Ovis aries: one gene and its partners. The protein of the gene in region 1 purifies or fractionates together with the protein of each later gene. This does not show direct contact. Links are inferred from orthologs where the notes say so. Each region holds a gene or a part of one and is shown on either strand. Other genes may lie near its edges.

Region 1 (3,500 bases):
GGCCACTCCGTGATGCTGGCAGGCCACAGTGGGTCTCTGTGCTGCCCTTGGCTCTGCAATCCCAATCTGGGTCCACTTCTCCTACCCACTGCCGTTGAGTGGGAAGGCTGAGGAGACCTGGGATCCAGGGTCTGACTGAAGGAGGGGACTCCTGGGAGAGCAAGATCCTGCCTCTCCCATGCCCCTCAGAGAGGCTGGGGTACTAGGGCTGGGTGGATTCAGCGGAGTCTGGGGCTTCCTCAGGGCTCAGAAATGGGTGGCAGGGGAGGCTGGGGTGGACGGCGGGAAGGCCAAGGGTGGGGGTAGTTCTGGGGGCCTGAGCTGACCAGCGTCGGCTCAAAGTACGGTTGGGCACTGAGGCTGCCTGGAACAGAAGGGAGCAGTGAGGACGAGGGAGGAAGGGGAGAAATAAAAAGGCTGAAATGAAAGGAGACAGAAACCAAAGGAGAGGAGAGAAACCAATCAGGAAGTCCTTATAAATTGCAGCAAACACTTAGAGTTTCGGAGCTTCGTGGGAACCCTATGTGCTGAGCCCACTTGAAAACAAGCGCAGGTATATACAGATCCAGGTAGTTGTCAACACTGTCACGTCTAGTGGCCTGAGGGACAAAGGGTCACCAAGTCAAGCCCGCTAGCTTGCTCGCAAAGCAGGTTTGTTTTGAAGTGGGAACATGAAGACTCAATAGTGCAAATAGTTCTAAGCTGTCCCTAAAGGAGTTGAGAATTGGAAAAGTTTTGGAAGAACATTTCCCCTGCCTTCCCCCTGGCCCCTGGCCCTGTCTACTAAGGCTCGAACTAGCGGCCACAACTGCTCTGAGCAGCTAGGGATGCCTTCTACCTGGCCTGTGGCACTCCGCCAGCTGTAGCCTGGGCCAGCCTGCTGGGGCCTCGGCACGTGGCCTTGGTGGCCTCTGTCTAGCGCTACCCGCTGGAGGCCAGCCCTGGGCCAATGTCGCCTCTGGCGCAGGCCAGTCGACACCCAGGGGGGCTCAAAGGATGCCTCCCTCCTAGCTGGGCCAGAACCGGGGCCGACAGGTGCTATGTCCCCATCCTGTGAAATGTCCTGGTCGATTTGGGATTGGGGCTGGTGGGGAGCCGTCTGTGTACCCCCATGGGTGGGATCACACGGGCTGGAGCCACTGGCCGTCTCCACCGTCTCGAAAGGATCCAACTGTCTCTTTTGCCCTGGACCTCCTGGTCCCGACGTGGGTGGGCATAAGGGGGGCTGGAGGGTGGGGTGGTGGAGCTCAAGGCTGGGCAGGGTGTGGGGGGAGAGGAGAGCTGAGACTGGGGTAGCGATGGCCCCCAAACCAGGAGTGTCTTCTCAAGTGCTCTCTGTCCCTAGTGACCACGTAGGGGGACTGGGTGGGAGGGAGGTGCAGGCACACCCTAAGAAGCCTGGGCAACAGCTTGTCTGGTCAGTAGTATCTGCAGCAAGCCTTGTTGAAGGAGCCTAGTTTAGAAAAGTGCAAAGCTACTTCTGGCCCTGGTTAGGTCTTCAACCTGACTGTGCTTGTCGATAAGAAAAAAACACCCCCAATGCTCCAACTACTCCCACCCTGAAGCCACGAAACTCTAAGTTTACTGAAAGAAAAAAAAATATTTTTTATTTCAGTTAATCGGGAAGCTTTGTCAGAGCCCTACCCATAAGGAGAAGAGACAACAGCTGCCTTTATTCTTGTTGGTTTGCTTTGCAATCCGCTCTGCGTAAAGTCAGCTAACTCTCTCGGTCACGGGCGTCCGGCTGTCCACAGGCTCCTCTCTGTTTGGCCTTGGCATGGAGGATGAGACAATGTCTTTGCGCTCTCCCTCCCCTCGGTGTTTGTACTTTTCTGTGGCCGGGGCCGCGGTGGCGAGCGCGGGCTGAGTCTTAGCAGGCTCCTTGGGGCAGCCATCGCTCTCCAGCGAGCCTGCTCTCGGCATCTTCTCCTCTTTGCAGACGCTGCTGCTCAAGTCCTGGGGCTCAGGGGGGCTGGCAGGGTCCTCGGAGCTCTGGGGCTCAGGCGGGGGTGGGGGCGGGGGCAGGAGCAGAGGCGCGGGGGCCTTTGGGGGCTCCACGTGATGGTGGTGGTGGTGGTGCTCCTTTTTGGGTGGCGAGGAGGCGCTGCCGCTGCGCCCCTTGGGGCTGCTCTCCTTGCTTTTCCGCCCTGGGCTCTTGCAGGTCTTCAGTCCCTTCCCGCTCTTCTCGCCAAGCGTGGACACCAGCAGGGGCTTCACCACCTCCTTCACCTCAATGCTCACCGTCTCCCGGGTCTTGCGCTTCTTGATGGGGAGCACGGTCTCCTGCACGGACCGGATAGACGACTCCTTCACGGCTTTCTTTTTGGCCTCGGCGGCAGCTGCAGCAACCACACTGCCTGGCTTTCGGCCTCGTTTCTTGGGAATGGCCTGGGGGTCGGCCTCCGCTTTTCGCTTCCGGCCGGGGCGCTTGATGACCATAACCTGGGCCGAGGTGGTGGCCCCACCCCCTTCTGCCTTGCTGCCCGGCGCAGCTTGGAAAGGCATCTTGACGAGCAGCTTTCCAGGACTTTTCTCCAGAACCCTTTTCACCTGCACACCCTCTGACGCGGCTGCCTTGGGTCTCGTGGTGCCACTCCCTTTAGGGCGTCCCCGACCTCTGCCAGTTCCTGGAGCTTTGGGAGATTTGGGCTTCTTAGGTGGTTTCTGTTCTCGCCGGGAGGGGCTCCCTCTCCCGGTTACCGTGAAGTCAAAATCATTAGGGTCCAGGGAGGTGTCGCCTACCTTTTCGAAGTACGCAATCAACTCCACTTTAGAGCGAAAGGCTTTTCCCTGGGGACTGTGGGAACAAGCGGAGACACACAAAGAAAGGTTAGAAGCTTCCAGAGCAATGCTGGAGGTGGGGCACAGGAGAAGGTGGATGGTGAGCCCTCTGACAGGAGATGTTCTGCAACTGACATGCCCGATGATACAGCTCACCAAGAGGGACATTTAAGAGAAGCTGAGATGAGCTAAAATTAGGGAGCTATGGTCCCATTTATACAGGAAGCAATCGGGTCGCCTGATGGCCATAGGTGCCCACGTGGCCTGCTGCTACATGGATGCCCCCGGGAGTTGCACTCCTCAGCCCCCCAAAGGGGTCTGGCCCGGGGACCCTGTCTACCTGCCAGACTGAACTCTCCAGGAATCAGTTTCCTCATTCGCCAGTAGGATGATGCTTTATCTGAGTTACTGGAATTAAATGAGACTGTACGAGTGAATTCCAAAATGGCTAACCTGTCTGGAGTCATTTAAGGGGGACAAGTGAAATGAACGTAGTCACACTTGTCCTCTAAATATCTGGCTAGGAAGTGACTCTGTTTCAACAGGTAACACCCAACCACCAGCCCACAGCTGGACAAAGGCCAGAGGGACAGTGGGAAAGGTACTCCGAGCCCATCTGGGGCTCTCTCTAGGCTGTATCAGACAGCCCCCCTTTACCAGCACGCCTCACGCAACAGACTGAACCCTGTGAATTTGTATTTCTCAGGGCTCATGAAGTA
Region 2 (3,500 bases), on another chromosome or scaffold:
GGGCCTTTATGCTGCCCCAAAGTGCTAGCAAGGTTACCTAAAATTCAAAAGGAAAAACATTAAAATTACTTTAAGCTTTATAATTTGGATCAACAGTAAAAACAAGTGGGGAAAAAAATGCTTTATTTACCATCTTTAGTCCATATTCTGGCAAACCCATCATAAGAACCAGTTGCTAGAAGTGTACCTTCACTCTGTTGGAGAAACACATTTCTTTCAATTATATAACCCAAAAAGGGTATTTAAATTTTATTAGAATATATTATGTTTAATCCCAAGTACAGCAGGTCTGTGACATTCTCTGCTTCAAGACCTTCAGCTTTGCCTATTTGAAAGTTCGAGAAAAGGCCTCCAGAACACCCTTCATGCTGTGAAGCTAGTATTTTGGCAGCATTCAGTCAGGGCGCAGGCCTCACACCCCAGTCCTGGAAGGGCAGTAACTGCTTGGGAGCAAGATTATCACCGCTCTTACAGGGGCTGAGGTCTACTTACTGTACTCTCACAAAGGCCTAGGACTAAAGGTGGGGGTCAGGTGGGGGATTAGAAAGGACATCAAAATCTTAATCTTATGATTTAATAAAGGTATTCAATAAAAATCAAAATCTTCCAAAATGTTTCATTAAGGTTAGAAGTTCTCATATTGTCCTCCCTCTAAATCTTTTACTGTCTAAACTGTGTGTGTTCCAAATAATAGTTTCAGATGATCAGATTCTTAAATATCACTACATTAAACATCTTTCTTTTGTTAATTTTTTCCTGTACCAATAAAAATAGCAATGCACACACAAAAACAAGAGTTAGAAGAGAGTGTAGGCTGACTTTATAGCTAATGAAGTGAGTACAACTGTCCAGAACTACTCTACTCTGAGGAGTAATCCTTAACGTTTTCTCTAACCTTAAAATTTCCTATGGTGCCTTGCCTTGAATAATGGTCCAATGGCAGGACTTGCTAAGATCCAACTTATTCTGTGGAAATCCAAGTTTCAGAGTACATTACACAGACTATTGCTGAGATGAGTAAACATTACAGGAAAGACAGAATGAAATCCTGCCTTGCTGATGCTTTTTTTGGCAAGAGATGTGAAAGGAAGATCACCTTTTCAGACCTCTCCAGTCATCTAGCTGTACAGTTAAGTGACAAACAAATGCTGGTTGTAGGCGATGCAGATTCAGTTCTGCTAGGATTTGGAAATCCCCTATAGTTCTAAGGAACAAGGAGCAATGTTGAAGCTAATAGCACAAGTTCATTTCCAAACTGCACAATGCAAAGTTTCCTTTAAACTAATGGTTTTAGACCATGGACCACTAGTAAAGTAGGAGAATAATTAGGAGCAGCTATCTCACAGGCTTCTGCTTTAGCCATGGAAATGAGCCATTAAACAACAATAACATTTTCTCTTTCTAGGGGAAGACTTAAGTTCATAGCAAATAATAAATCTTCCAAAAGTCTATACTTTTAAAAGCTTTAACTTGCAGTTCAGAAACACCGAACTCAACAAATCATTTGTTAACCATCCTTTTCAGTGTAAACTTTAATTAACATGGTCTCTGAGCCAAACAGCCTAAGAAGGGTATAAGGCCTTTGGCCTATGATATAGTAAGGTCCCATTTTAAGAACGGAATTCTTAGTTCTGACCCTACAATCAAATAACACTGTTGAGAATTCTCAACTTTATACGTGGGAAAGGGTAAATACATTGTTGGAAATTCAGAAAAGAACACTAATAAGCCTTACTATGAGTTCTGGAAGAATTTCATAGAAACTAAGAACTTCAGATAGTGTAATCACTTTGAAAGACAGATCTTATTTCTTGGAAAGAGATTTAGAAGATACTTTGAAAAGCCCCACAAAATGTTGTTAAAACAGAGGCCAGAGAAGGAAAGGATGTCCACTTGCTAAGGAAAGGACAGCTGACCTCTAAAATTCTTTATAACACTGACACAGTCTAAGAAGTTACTAGAACCAGAGTTGGGGGAGTGGGAGGGTATTAAAAAAATGAACATAAAGTTACAAGGAAGAAAAAAGACAACATGGAATAAAGGAAAAGATACAGAAACTTTTAAAATGCTAATTTTCCGCAAATTACTTGTGGGAATGGTAGCAAAGAAAGCTGTTAATTATATATTTGAAACTGAAAGGATGAAGCTTTATCAATAGTGAAATCAAATTTTCTAGTAAGTAAAAGTAATCAAAGATATTGAATCATATATAGAATAAGAGAATTCTCAAGAGTCCTACAGCTAGAGTAAAGCTTGTAATTTAGACTAACGGTTCCTAAAAAGAGCTGGCAATGAAGTTTTCATCAATTAACAGCAAAATGAGAGAAACAAGACTATGTTTCTATTACATAGATTTCTCTTGTACCCCTAACAAAGGACTTAGTAGTTAAGAACTTAATTAATACTGGAATTAGGTAGCCTTTCCCTTCTCCAGGGCATCTTCCTGACGCAGGAATCGAACTAGGGTCTCCTGCATTTCAGGCTTTACCAACTGAGCTATCAGGGAAGCCCACTGAGAACTTAGTACGTGTCTATTATTGGTTTTCATTTACTATTTGATTTATGTAAGACCATTAATACACTCCTACTTTATATGTGATGAGAATGAAGTACAGAGTGATGGACCACCAGTTATGCAAGGATTCTATATCTAGATAAACTGAGAGGCTAGAAGATGAACCTTGCCCTGTCTTTGCTTTTAACACATTTTGGGTTAGGGACTCCTAGTCTACTGTTCTTACTAGTGAAATTCAAAAATACCTGAACAAACAGACATGCCCTGCCACTAGTTTGAGGCTCAGGGAAGTTAAGCGTGTTACTAACTACATCCACCATGGACAGCACAGCGATACTCACATTCCAATCTAGTGATGTCACATCCTTGTTGCTTGGGACATCTTGCCCTCCTTCTCGTATACAATGTCTAAGAACTAACTGTGTGGAGCCACTCGTGCTGTTTTCACTAAGGTTCCATATTCTTGCTGTTGAGTCTCCAGACCTATAAGGTATACAACATATTTTAAATTTTCATGACATTCTCAAGCATTACAGAAATCAAGGCAACAGATTTACATCCTATTATTAATGAGGCAAACACAAATCAGACTATCAGGCGTTTCCATTTCCAGTATTTTTCTCAGTCTCCATTTTGGGGATGCCGAAATCACTCCTGAGGGAGTAATTTAAAAACTCTAACATTACTACATGAAGAAATAAAGATTTACAGGGCAAAATGACCACAAACAAGCAACAACAAAAACCGGAAAGTGTAAGCAATATATTTGTAGAACACGCAATATTTCAGTAAGATACTTTTAGAAATCCATTTTAATTTTACTTTGAGAAACATACCCTGATGCCAAGAGATCGCTAACGGGGTTCCAGGCACAGATGAAAACTTCAGATTCGTGGCCCCGTAACACAACTGCTTTATTAGGAGGGATTTCAACATCCCCATCCACTTCCATCATATCAGTATGATTATCTGCATCATGAGAAAT
Region 3 (3,500 bases), on another chromosome or scaffold:
TATTTGCATTACTGTTTGCATGTGTTTCCACATTATGTGTTAGTTTGTACTTTTACCCTTTTAGGCCTGAAATAACTTTCCTCCAATTGTCACTTGTTGTAGTAGAAAGAGCACTGAACTGTGGGAGTCAAGACACCTGGACTCTGGTTCTACCACTCACTGCTTGGTTATATAGCCTTGGGCAAGTCAGTTAACTTCACATCTGCACTGTTCCTCTGCACAGTGGGGTTGATATTGGTCCTGTCCATCTTTTATGGAGTTGTTAGGCAGATTCGAGATTATGTATGTGAAATTACTGGGGAAAAGACCAGAGTACATTTTCGTGGGCTTTTAGGACGGACAGACCAATCCTTGAATACTGCCTCTGCCATTTACTGGCAGTTACCTCTTTGAGCCTGTTTCCCCACTTATAAAACAGGACCAAAAAAAAAAACAGGACCAAATCCTACCTCAGAAAGTTGTGTGAGCATAGATGACACCAAGTATTTAAAGCACTTAGCATGGTGACCAGCATGTTGTTAAGCATCAATGGAGGATAGTATAGCCCTCTGTTCTTTGCTTGCTTGTTGACCCGCTGGAGTAAGATCCAGGAACAAACCCAGGCTGGAATAAGAGGCCAAATTTTTCTCCCTCAGGAGTGAAACAACATTTTCTGAGTACTTACTTGCTGAATGCTTCCCCATGTATGGTTTCTATTAATCTTCTCAAGAATTAGGTGAGGTGGATATCATTGTTGCTTGTTAAAGATAATGAGCCAAAGCTCAAGGAAATTAAATGACTAGACCCAGTCCCACAGTCAGTAAGCAGGAGGGCCTGGGCAAGAACCTTCTGAATCCAAATGCTGTGTTTTTTCCATCAGCTCATAAATAATGTAAACAAAACCAAAAGGAAATTGTGGAAACTAACCTTTTCGTGTTTTTTCAAGTCAACGTCGGTGAGGACTGTCCGGTATTTGATGGCCTGTTTGAGTTCTGTCAGCTGTCTACTGGTGGCTCTGTGGGTAAGGAATATACCCTTCATAAGGGCTATTCTGGGCTGTACCAATGAGGTCTGTCTTTTAGGCCACTGTCCTAGTGAGGCTGACCTGTGACCATGTAAAATGGTCCTGGGTGGGTTTTTATGTTAGGTCCTTAAAATGTTATTCTGCTTCAGTCTGAGGCCAGGTTCAATCTGACATAGTATAGATATGTGTCCTAGCCTGTCCTTTCCTACTAAGACATCCTGTATACAGGAACTCCCTGCAGACCTCATGGGGTTGTTGAGATGCTGAACATAAAAGTAATTTGTGAACTGCAAAGTGCTGTAAAAATAGGAAGTGTCATCATCTGTGTCTTACAAAAGAGCATGGTAATTACATTTAGAGGTCAGAAACACTTCCCGCGTATCTCCCACTTCCATTAATATCTATGTTATCTCTGGGATCACTCTACCATTTCTTAACAAATATTTATTTTTCTGTGATCATTGTTTTTTCTCCTTGCCTCTCCCTACCACCTCACAATATAATCTCAGAAAACAAAGAAGTATACAGAGGAAAAAAACTGACTGCAATCACACTGTCATGGATAACCGTCATCACCATTTTGGTGTTTGTACATCCATGCTTTTTTCTTTGTGCACGTATCCAGACAAAACGTATACTCATCTATATTTTACAAAAATGTGTATGTATAGTTTTGTGCCTCCCTACTACATTTTTTACTTAGTAAATCTTTTTTTTTTTTTTTTTCCGGTCATGCCATGTGGCTTGCAGTATCTTAGTTCCTGAACTAGGGATTAAACCTGGGCCCGTGGCAGTGAAAGTGTGGAGTCTAACCACTGAGCTGCCAGGGAAGTCCCTACTTAGTAAATCTTTGAAATTTAGCTGTAATAAGGTTTAGCATGGTATCTAGTGGCTACATGATTATTCTATGTTATGGACCAACCTCAGTTGATATAATTAGTCCACTCAAGTTGCTCTGTGTTGGTGTTTTTTTGGTTTTTGTTTTTTCTACACCATGCAGCTTGAAGGATCTATCTTAGTTCCCTGGCCAGGGACTGAACTTGAGCCCTTGGCAGTGGAAGCATGGAGTCCTAACCACTGCACTGCCAGGGGATCCCTCATGTTCTTATCGCTCTTAAAGTCATACTGCCGCAAAGGCATTTGCACACATGGTGTGTATTTTTCTCGCACTTCTTCTTGGGCCTATTTGTACTTCAAGCCTCTGTCTGCTACATTTGGTATCTTCAAAATATTTTGACCATGAACCACAGTAAGAAATACATTTACACTTAAAATCCTGGTTATGGACACACTCGCACACACACATCCTCTCTTGCTCTGCAGCTAGTTTCACAAAAGAGTGGTTACCTTTACTGTTAACTCTGCTATTTTTATTCTATAGTCTATCTCATTAAAAAAAAAAAAAAAAATATATATATATATATATATATATACACACTAACCATAGCCCACTAAACCAATTTTAAGGCCTATTAGTGAGTTTTACCACTTTCAGTTTGGAAAACAGGTTTTCTAGAGTAGCCAATGTTGTGTTTATTCCCATTGGAGTAGACAGAGGGAGAGGGCTAGCTGGTGAATTGTACAGTTCACCTGTTAAATAGGCAGGTCCTATCTCTCACTGGGTTCCCATGGTTTTTTGGGGAAAGGAGAGAGAGGGACTTTGTGACAGGCTTGTGTTCTTTCTTCCGGTGCCCAGCAAGTGCCGTGAAACTTAATAAGCAGCAGACGGACATCGCTGTGAATTGGGCTGGGGGCCTACACCATGCAAAGAAGTCCGAGGCATCTGGCTTCTGTTACGTCAATGATATCGTCTTGGCCATCCTGGAACTGCTAAAGTATGCCTGCCTGGCCTTGTCTCGGAGGAGCACCTTAGGCCAGGTCCCCACTCCCTCTCCCCCGGGCTTGCCTCCCTAGTTTGCCTTTCCTAGCGGCGTGCCGGCTAGGATGTGTTTGGTGAGTGTCTCTGGCCATCCTCTCCTTGACGAGGCCTTGATTGGATCTGAGCCCACGGCAAGATCAGGGGCAGGTGCTGCTCAGATCCTGCCTCCAGAATGTCCCTGTGTGGCTGGAGTTGACCCTGGCTGTAGAGTAGGAAGATCGGACTTGGTCGGCTTGGTCAGGCCTCTGGAGACACCCTGCCGCTCTTCCACCTTCCTTCAGCCAGTTTCCACGTCTCTGGTGCTTAGAGATACCTGAGGGAGGCAGCCAGCCCGGTAAGCTGGGCCCTGGCGCCCTTGGCGCGTCCCATTCCCAAAGAGCCCCCAGAACCCCCTGACCCCCTTCTGATCCTAGGTATCACCAGAGGGTGCTGTATATTGACATTGATATTCACCACGGCGATGGCGTGGAAGAGGCCTTCTATACCACAGACCGAGTCATGACTGTGTCCTTTCATAAATATGGAGAGTACTTCCCAGGAACTGGGGACCTACGGGTGAGAACTCCCTTCAGGGGCCAGCCAGCTCACCCTCAGCTGCCAGCTCTAACTCTCCTGTCT

The links.
Region 2: the proteins of MECP2 (region 1) and TBL1XR1 purify together in Homo sapiens (co-immunoprecipitation; 3 studies listed by BioGRID and IntAct, with this or other methods). This does not show direct contact. The link is inferred for Ovis aries from reciprocal best matches to the Homo sapiens genes MECP2 and TBL1XR1.
Region 3: the proteins of MECP2 (region 1) and HDAC1 purify together in Homo sapiens (affinity purification with western blotting; 4 studies listed by BioGRID, with this or other methods). This does not show direct contact. The link is inferred for Ovis aries from reciprocal best matches to the Homo sapiens genes MECP2 and HDAC1.

What each region holds. Positions count from the first base shown.
Region 1 is NC_056080.1:80,267,497-80,270,996, reverse strand, and holds part of MECP2 (methyl-CpG-binding protein 2), read right to left. Parts: intron 2,798-3,500; coding exon 1,714-2,797; 3' UTR 1-1,713. UniProt on the Homo sapiens protein: Chromosomal protein that binds to methylated DNA. It can bind specifically to a single methyl-CpG pair. It is not influenced by sequences flanking the methyl-CpGs.
Region 2 is NC_056054.1:210,745,044-210,748,543, reverse strand, and holds part of TBL1XR1 (F-box-like/WD repeat-containing protein TBL1XR1), read right to left. Parts: intron 3,485-3,500; coding exon 3,352-3,484; intron 2,999-3,351; coding exon 2,857-2,998; intron 195-2,856; coding exon 131-194; intron 38-130; coding exon 1-37. UniProt on the Homo sapiens protein: F-box-like protein involved in the recruitment of the ubiquitin/19S proteasome complex to nuclear receptor-regulated transcription units. Plays an essential role in transcription activation mediated by nuclear receptors.
Region 3 is NC_056055.1:235,235,998-235,239,497, reverse strand, and holds part of HDAC1 (histone deacetylase 1), read left to right. Parts: intron 1-925; coding exon 926-1,000; intron 1,001-2,699; coding exon 2,700-2,838; intron 2,839-3,295; coding exon 3,296-3,437; intron 3,438-3,500. UniProt on the Homo sapiens protein: Histone deacetylase that catalyzes the deacetylation of lysine residues on the N-terminal part of the core histones (H2A, H2B, H3 and H4).